Linked DNA regions of Schizosaccharomyces pombe. The gene in region 2 interacts genetically with the main gene of each other region. Each region holds a gene or a part of one and is shown on either strand. Other genes may lie near its edges. The genes, in order: cbh2 and SPOM_SPBC1271.05C.

Region 1 (4,446 bases), 3.8 Mb from region 2:
TTATGTTTATCAGGTAATGGAGGAACCAAGCAAGTAGGATACAGGCGGCTAAGTTGTACGCGCAAAGAAGCAAATTCTGAATATCGATGGTGTATTTCTGAGTCCTAAAAACCGTTAGTAATCAAACATTTCAATACTTCCAAACAAAAGAGAAGAATGAAGCAAGGATTCTACAATGAATAGTTCGACTTAATACATTATCAACCAATTTCCTTAACTTACTTGAAGTTTGATTATATATACTATGTGTGATCCACTCTCAGCCTTCATAGCTCCAGTAATTACAATTCCGTTTGGATCGAGGGCTGAATCAACAACACTATCTACGTCCTTTTGAAAAAACATGTTTCTACTTTGAAAACTCTCATTCGGTTGGCTAATCGCATTCTCTTTGACAGATGAAGAGCCCTGGTGCTGTGATGGCTCAACTTTTGGCTCTACATTGACAGCAGAAGAGGCGCTTCTGTTGTCAGAGCCAGAGAATGGATTATTATCTTCAAAAAAATCCATTCAATTGTTTCTCACAACGTCCAATTTCAATTGCAATGCTGAATAATGGCGTTTGGAGTTGACAAGTACAGACAGTCATACTGTGTTGATTAATGCATTGCGCTATGCTTATTTTTCGCAAAACAAAAAATTTGTCCCAATTCAATTTCGTAATTTAAACAATTGATTCTTCACTTTATTATTTTATCAATATATCTTATTGAGTTTATAAACGCTTTTAGCGCGAATCTCACATTAATTGAAATAGTACGTCTAGTAGTTAACCTTTAAGAATTCACTGTAATTATTTATCTTTCTTATATTCTATAAAAATTATTTAAAAGTATAGAAAATGTGTACATTTTCGTTAGAAACAAATTTTCCAATTCCCACAACCTTTACACAATCGATCTGCTTTCTAAAACCTTTTGAAACTGAAGTAATGTTCGAGTAAACAAAACATTTCCATCTTCCGATTGCTCTTGAAAGTTTAGTAAAGTATTGATGGCATTTATCGCATCCTTTGTTGATAACAAATACTGTGACTCTTCCTCTTCTTCATCGGTTTCAAACTCTCGTTCATCAAGAAATTGAGCAGCAACTTGGTTAACGATATCGTCATTAGTGTCAGCAGAATTTTCTTCAATAGGGTTAATAAAATTTTCGATTTGGAAAATATCCTTATCACCAAGGTATTTTCCTATCAATTCTTGCAAATTCACCGCGATTCTAATGGTTTCTGGAGAAGGACCGGTCAGTGGTTGCTGATTTTGAAAAAGCCCAGAACGAAGGAAACAATTGTATATTATAGATGGTTCAAAGTCAACGTTCCAAGAACGAATCATCCATCTAACTGCTTTTAGTACATTCATTGTCTTACTGGGGTTCTTTCCCAATCGAATCTCCTCAAGCATGTAATTAAGCCAGTATTTTCTGTAGTATGATTTAAAAGCGTAGACTATCTCTTGGCCACAAGGATGGTAAATTTCTGTAGAATTTACAGGAAGGAAAACAACAGTCGTGTTTACCAACTTTCGCTCGGAATTGCGAATATTTTCCAAAGCGCATTCATGAGCGACAAACTTATCCAGTATAAGTAGAACTTTCCTACCCTTCATCAAATCGTCAAACCAACGAAGCCATTCTTCCATAATGGAAGTGGTCATCCTAGCGGTTCCATTATATCGCCAATGAAAATCCATGGAATCAGGATGAGCATTTGCTTGCCGAAAGGCCCTTGGACTTTTAGCATATCCAATCACCCAAAGAGGGGCCTTTTCAGAACCTGTAGCATTACAACAAATAGTGACGGTGACACGAGCCTTATCTCTCGTAATTCCTTTTACTCGTTCACTCGCAGGAGATTGATTGGGAATAAGTTTCCAGCATAGCCCCGTCTCATCCATATTAAAGATGTCTTTTGGATCAAAAAGACTTATTAATTCCTGTATTTGAACCATGTTTTCCTCATACGTTCCTTGATTTACTGAAGTAGATTCACCCTGTAACTTAAGGCCGTGTTTTAAACAACGCTTTTTGAACTTCTCTAACCAACCGTTACTAAATTCTGGAATCGGAAGCTCAGAGTACTCCGGTATACGTCTCCACAATTCTGCGGCGCTTTTTTTGATGGCGTTTCCAGTAATTGCTCCGTCTTGTTTTTGCAACCTCGTTTGCCAGTCAATAAGGGCGTTTTCTAAGATAGGATATTTTCCTTGGCGGTTTCTTCTTATTTGAGAGTTTTCTGCGTCTAGATTATCTAAAAATTCGTTCTTTGATGATAGAATTGACGAAACGGTAGATTGTGCTAGCTTTTTATGAAAGTGCTCCTCGAACCAACTAATAAGCTCTTGTTGCGAAGGTTTAGTTGCTGACTCAAAATAATGTTTTCTAATTGCTTTTTTTTCAGCTAAAGTCAACGCTTGACGCCTCAATGGAGGCATTCTCTCAAGTTTACGAAAAAATCGTTGTAAGGGAGGTAATCGCGGCTGTCGTGGATGATATGGATGATATCCCGATATGTTTGTGATATTTGATATATTAACGTGTTTGTTATTATAATATTATTATAATATTTTCGTTATGGATATGTTAACTATCTTTATTGCGACAAGTTGTATGTATAATTGTAATATTCGTTTGCTCTTAAATCGCAATTGTTGGATATCTCAACCACAGTGGAAATTAAATAAAGTAAAAGATAAGAAGTAAAATAGGTTTAACTTAAAAAGAATTTGAATGCCATAATTAAGCGATTTAAATAAGCTGAGCATATATGAGAGTATTCTAAATTATATATTTATGGCAATCTTGATTAAAAGGCTTTAAAACAAATCAGCACCGAAACCTACAAGACGATCGGAAAATGAAGTTTCCACTAAACTAGGTCGATCTGGGGCACCATGTATGGGAGCATCTTTGAGCTTTTCAGTTACATCGCTTAGTGAAACATTTAAGTATATCTCCATAAACTGTCCAATTTCAATGTTCTCCATATTTCCTCGAAGATGTTCAGTGACCTCTCCTACTCCATAAACGTTTACATCGACAGCAGTATGGCCGTGAGTGGTCCAGCCAATTTGTGCTTCTACACTAACAATATCACTAAGCACGTTTATAAGATTAAATATATTATGCCGGGCCACGTATATGTCATGAATCTGCTTTGGATTAGGGTCAGGAATGCCAATTGCGGGTAAAACAAACTGTTCAATATAAGGAAGCAACGTATTTTGGTTATGGTTCACGATAGCTGAAGCGAGATATTCAATAGAATGGAGAGCAAGAGATAGGACTTGCGGCTTCCATAAATACTCTGGATATTTTTTGGAGACCTGGCGACCAACAGTCAAACCACCAGTTTCATGATCCGATGTAGAGATTAAAGATCCTCCATTCTTTTCTACAAATGCACTTGCTATTTCAAAGGCCCTGTTGTATTCCATAACTTCGTAAACATGAGCGATAGGGTCATTGTTGTGAGAGGCCATGTCAATTCTACTCCCTTCTATGAGCAAAAAAAATCCTTTAGATGTATCTTCATTAGTGGCGTTGAGCAAAACATCCAAAGCCGTCTCTACCATTTCAGAAAGCTTAGGTTGCACTTCAGGCTGATAATCAATATCATAACTGAGATGATAATCAGAAAACAAACCAAGCAAAGGCAATTGAGCGTTTGATAGCTCATCAAAGTCAGTTCTATTAAGCAAAATTTGGAAACCTTCTTTTTTCCTAGCATATTTCAAAAGATCCAAGTTATCGGATCTACATGATCGATAAGTAGATTTAGGTAAGAATGAACAAAGTCCACCACCGAACAATAAGTCAACACTCCTTCCCAAAGGTCCCATCCCGACTTGGTACTCAGCAATTAAATCTTGCATGAATCGATTCGCGGCATGAGCAGAGAAAGAGGCAGGTGTAGCGTCGGTAACTCTGCTTGTGACAACAATTCCGGTTAAGTAACCGGCTTCTTTAGCAGCCTCTAAGATAGTTCCACAAGGTTTTTCATTATCCAAAACACCAACAGCTCCGTTGTAGGTTTTATTAGCACAAGAAAATGCGGTTGCTCCGGCTGCACTATCCGTAATCAAACTCGAACTGGAACGTGTCCGTGAACTGCCAATTAAATGCTCATCCAAGGGAAGCCTATAACCCTCTTTATCGTTTAGAGTCTCTACAAACGATCTAGTCATAGACAAAGAGCCAGGTCCCATTCCTTTAAAAAAAGTCAGTCACCGAGAAATATTGTAAAAAAAAGGAAGATTCCGTCCCAGTGCTCTAAATATAAAAAAAATCATTTTCCTTCAAAAGAGCAACGGATTTATGAGAGAGCTTACTCCAATCACTTACCGTCAGAAACCATCATAATAACAAATTTTGGTTTCTCATTGGTCCCTTTGGACTTATGAGACGAGAAAAAATAAAAAAATATAACGGTTGATAAAACAAGGATTA
Region 2 (4,834 bases):
AGATTCATCCATGGTTTACGATAATTATCGGTATGGTAAATTTCTGAATAATTCCAAAAAAAAAAAAAAGCTTTTTAATATATGTAAATGAGTCTATTTAATGAAAGAAAATCAAATATTATAAGACTCAATTCCCTTAGTGTAGAGGAGAAAAATTCTAACAACACGAATGATTTAAGCAACAATTTTGATTTTTATAATTTATCAAAAAACCCGAGAGAAGATGACAATTATTCTAATTACTCTCTCAAAATATGAAAATTTTTAAACAAAAGGCTAAAAAAATGAAGAAAAAAGTTTCCAAAGCAGTTTTCGTTGACTTTTTACGATATACGTTCCGGGTACTGGGTTTCGTAGAAAATCGATCTACATGAATTGCCTGACTTGAATGAAAATTTCCATCACTAAAATAAATTTTGGATTGATGCGATTAAATTACTTGATCGGATGCCGACCAAAAGAGTTGAATACATGATTTCAAATGACTATAAGCGAAAATGCTAGGGGGCTTTACATTACAAGTATAAGGAATTATAACTGGTTTAAATCTAAGTACTTAAAAAAATTTTAAAGCAACTTTCAAAGATTTATTCATCTGTTTAAAAATATTTCAGCAATCTATCGGAAAAACAAGATAGTCAAGTCCAAGAAACCCACAAAAAAATGAGTTAGCTGACACTAGGTATTAAAACATTGCACCAAATCAGCAGGCAACTGGAGTTAAGTAATTTTGATCTTAAAGCAATGAATTTTTCATAAAAGTTTTTGAGAATACCAGATGGTAAATTCAAGAGATATGTGGCGAACAGAGATAAGAGTAGTATAGAAACAATTAAGCTTGATTACAGGTACCGAGTTCACCAAATCAACTCACGATTACAGTTGAGGATAGTAAAATATTAGAAAGAGCATATGAAAATTACACATGGCTCTAATGTCAAAAGCCTACTGCTTGGCAGACGGGAAAAAAATAAAATAGAAAGTAAGTATCATAATGGAAGTACGATTATTCATTAAACAGTCAAATAAAACATTAGAAAATGCAAACGAAAATGAGGTAACTGCTGTTGAAAAGGGAAAAAAAGTAGATCAAAAAATCGTGGATCCATCATTACTGATTGAAATTATAGGAACGATAAAATTCGGAGCGTCAAAGGGAAGATATTTAGAAAACGAAGATGACGGGAAAGGTAACGTGGCCTCCCGTGCAAACAAAGCCAGCTAAAACATTAAAAATAATAATAAGGATAACAGTAATAATAAAACTCCAGCTTAAGAAGAAGAAAAAAAAGTTCTAAGATGGTGTTTTGTAAAAATGTTCAAGTTAAGAATGGATTTTAAACTTTACTTATCAAGGTATCACCATGTTCTTTTTCAAGTTTTATACGGTTGCGTTCATGCTCTTCCTTTCTGAGAGAGAAAAGAGCAACGCAATCATGATCTTCCATAAGACGATGGGCAGCACAAAATCTGCCATTGCAATGCAAGCAATTGCCAGCGAGGCGCAAAGTAATCCTCGTGCAAGTTGGATGGCAACAACGTCTTCTAGAAGTCGCTGGGCGGGTAAGTAATGCTTTGTCAGAACTCTTCTCGGATTCAAGAGGAGGGTTTGTTAAATTGGATTTAGAAATTGAGGGAATGGTAGAGGATTGCTTGAAATTCGACACAGCTTCCGTAGATGCATGATTAGGAGTTAAAGGGGAAAAATGTAAGTGGAAAGCAGATGTAGAGTAGTCTTTGAAATCAATGTCACATGAAGAAGGTAATGGTGCAATATGAACGGCAGAGTCGTGGATAATGCCATAATCAGCGCAAGTCATATTCATGTTTAAACGAGTTCCATGGTAATAAAATGCATGGAGTGATTTTGCATTTTTTGGGAGGATTCCCTGATCAGATAGCAAATCAAAGATATTTCCAAGACTAGAATGCTCGTCTACTTCAATTGAATAAGATTGTGAAGCGATAATTTGCAGCAGGACCATGATTTTACAAAAACAATAGTAAGGGTGTAGAGGATGAAGCAAGAAATATTTAATGAAACAAATAACTTTTCAAAGGAGAAGTAAATCGAAAAATAATCAAAAGAAAAGGAAGAAAAGAAACGTACCGGATACGATAGTGATTAGACAGTAAAGAAAAAAAAATAAAAGCTGTAGCAAAGGAAACACTGATTTAAAAAACAGTAAAAGGCAATTTTCAATTTAATTTAGAAGAAACCGCGTAGATATTTAGCAACGGAAGCGTTTCGGTTGATGAAGTAAGCAAGCAGATTTCAAGAAACAATCAAACACTTCCTTTCTTAGGCAAGGAATTTTGGTGAAAAGAAGGTTATAGAAATTCGAAAGAAAGGTAATTCTATTAGAATTTTAAACAAAAATGTGATTCACTTGTTGATTAACAGTGAAATCGATGATTACAAATCAAAGTACAGTAGGAAAGTAGAAGGCAAAAGTAAACAACTTGAGAAACACTCAAAATTCACAATTTTAAATATTTATGGAAACTCTTGGCAGGCGATCAATTTTTGAAGACAATTGATTCTTTTGTGAACGTTTTGGTGGTTGGCTTTGGGATGTTTTTCTTTCTTCCTAATTCAGCGGATAAGGGAGAATTCCAAAGCAAAGCGAGATAGGGGATCCGACGCTAGACACATGTTAAATGCCGATAATCATGCTCACCTTTCAAACTCCAATTGAAGGATTAACGAGAAATTAAGACGGATGAAAATGGCAGAATATTGGTAGGCAAGAGTAGCTAATACAAGGGTTGGCAATGCCGATGCCACCTAAGAGAGTACGGACGGGAATGCTAATGCAGGACGGATACGGAAGATGGAACGGGATTAATGTTTTGAGATGGCAAAGACGACCTTGAACTTTCAGCAAAGCTCTCGACTCGCTAAATTGTTTATGAATACCCTTCCACCAAGATTGATAGCAAGTTGGTGCACAAAGGATACTTGGTGCTGGTGTTAAATGGGTTTGGAAATTTAATATATTCGATTAATTATGCATTTTGTATTTGTCTCCTTACTTAAGACGTTGGGCGCATTGCAATGGATGAATGTTAGCAACTAAACTCTATATGTTTACTTGGTTCTTTTACTCTTAAGTTACAGGTTTTTCGTCTATAATTGTTATATTATTTCAAATTTGTCTATGATTAAATTTTTTATTGCTATTATTTATTGATGACTATTTGAATTGACTTTTTTTTAATTCGCATTCAAATCAGTGGCGTGAGCTTGATCAGAGTATCCATGCAAGGTGCGAGTGCTAAATCGAAGCCGCTTAGAAAATCAAGTTTTATTCCAAAATTGATTTTAATATGTCTTTTTTTCCCTTTTTTTAACAATAATTTCACTTCAATTGATCGCTTTGTTTCTTAAGTTTTTATTTATCGGCCTCAAGACTCCAGAATGCCAAGAATGTATGCCAATTTTGTTAATCAATCATCATGTTATAAACAATTTACATCTATTTTTACGCATAATATTTGAATCAATGGCAGATAGGCAGTAGAGATCAATGATTCTTAGATGTATCAAGACCAGCAATGACAAAAATGCAGATATCAAATTGTCAATTCGGTTTTATCAAATATCTTCTAGAAAAGAATTAGTTAAAAATCAACATCCAAAATTTATTTAAGACAGATCAAATTTAATGGATCTGGGCATTTGAGAAACGTTGATGAATTCCATATAAACAAACCGCTTATCAATTTCGAACACAGTCTCTATAACATGATTTACGCTCTTTAAGAGATTCTTTTTCTTGGGGAGAAATCCAAATTGATACAAAGTTTAGTAAATAGCTCATATTTCTGGAATAGTTTCCTACGGCAAAAGAAATCGTCATTCTTTTATAAGCGATTTTTACCCTAAGTTCTCTCAACGATGGTATCCTTTGCAAAGCAAGAGAAGTCAAAGATGAAAATGCTTCAAAAACACATTATTCTATAATCTTTTTTATTTTGCCAAGAATTCAATAATCATTTATTAGTGATTGTGGGTAACAACGCTACTTCGTTTAGTCAATGACACTTCAACTTTTTTTCAACCTAAATTTTCGGTTTCAAAATCCACAATTTTGAAGGGTAAGGTAAAAATCATTTATTTGCGTATTCATTATTGTTCATTGCGAAGTGAAACCCTATATTTTGGACCTGATTGTTCTTGTTTTCCAGTAGTTGACGTGTTGGGTTATATCAACAATAATGAACCTGTTCAGGTTTTATCTTTATCCAGTTCATAAATAGGATAAGCAGTCAGGCGAGCAAGTAACTTTTTGAATTGTTTTTGAATACAATCTTTATTTTATAATAGAGGGGAATCACAAGTCGTTTGCGTTATGGAAATGTCCGATACGTTTTTTTTCGATCGAAGCCAAATAGTAAAGTTGCTTAGCTAGGACTTTGTTGCAAATGATGAATGAAAAACTTGGGTTACTGACAAACAATAGCAAAGTTATTTTACTCATTGTTAATTTTTCTTCTAATCCAATATACAGCCGCAGTCATATGTGGCTTTACTAGATGGAATATGCAAAGCGTCATACCTCTCAAAAAAACAGGAAAAAAGCGTTGATTAACTGTCTTTGTAAAACTTTCCGACAATGTTTTTGCATTCCATTTTGTCCTGCTAATTGCTTTAACCATTTGTTTACACATTTTTTTATTTATACTACCATTTGAAAAATGCGAACTTTTTTATTCACGAAGACAAAAATTTATAAATTTAACGATCATCATAGCAATATCTTTTCCAAAAGGATCGAACGGAAATGCTGATTATTGGAATGAGGCAAGCGCTTAAAATATACCAATCAAT

The links.
Region 1: mutations in SPOM_SPBC1271.05C (region 2) and cbh2 together harm fitness less than expected from each alone (positive genetic interaction), as found in Schizosaccharomyces pombe (one large-scale study listed by BioGRID).

The regions. Positions count from the first base shown.
Region 1 is NC_003423.3:4,179,979-4,184,424, forward strand, and holds cbh2 (CENP-B protein 2), read right to left. Parts: upstream 2,461-4,446; 5' UTR 2,433-2,460; coding exon 888-2,432; 3' UTR 759-887; downstream 1-758. Other genes in the region: sorting nexin Snx41, read right to left, coding at 1-104, 223-510; pho8 (alkaline phosphatase), read right to left, coding at 2,814-4,207, 4,342-4,446. UniProt on the Schizosaccharomyces pombe protein: Binds to the central core and core-associated repeat regions of centromeric heterochromatin.
Region 2 is NC_003423.3:360,593-365,426, reverse strand, and holds SPOM_SPBC1271.05C (zf-AN1 type zinc finger protein, involved in ER membrane translocation), read right to left. Parts: upstream 2,578-4,834; 5' UTR 1,986-2,577; coding exon 1,338-1,985; 3' UTR 566-1,337; downstream 1-565. Other genes in the region: dys1 (eIF-5A-deoxyhypusine synthase), read right to left, coding at 1-12.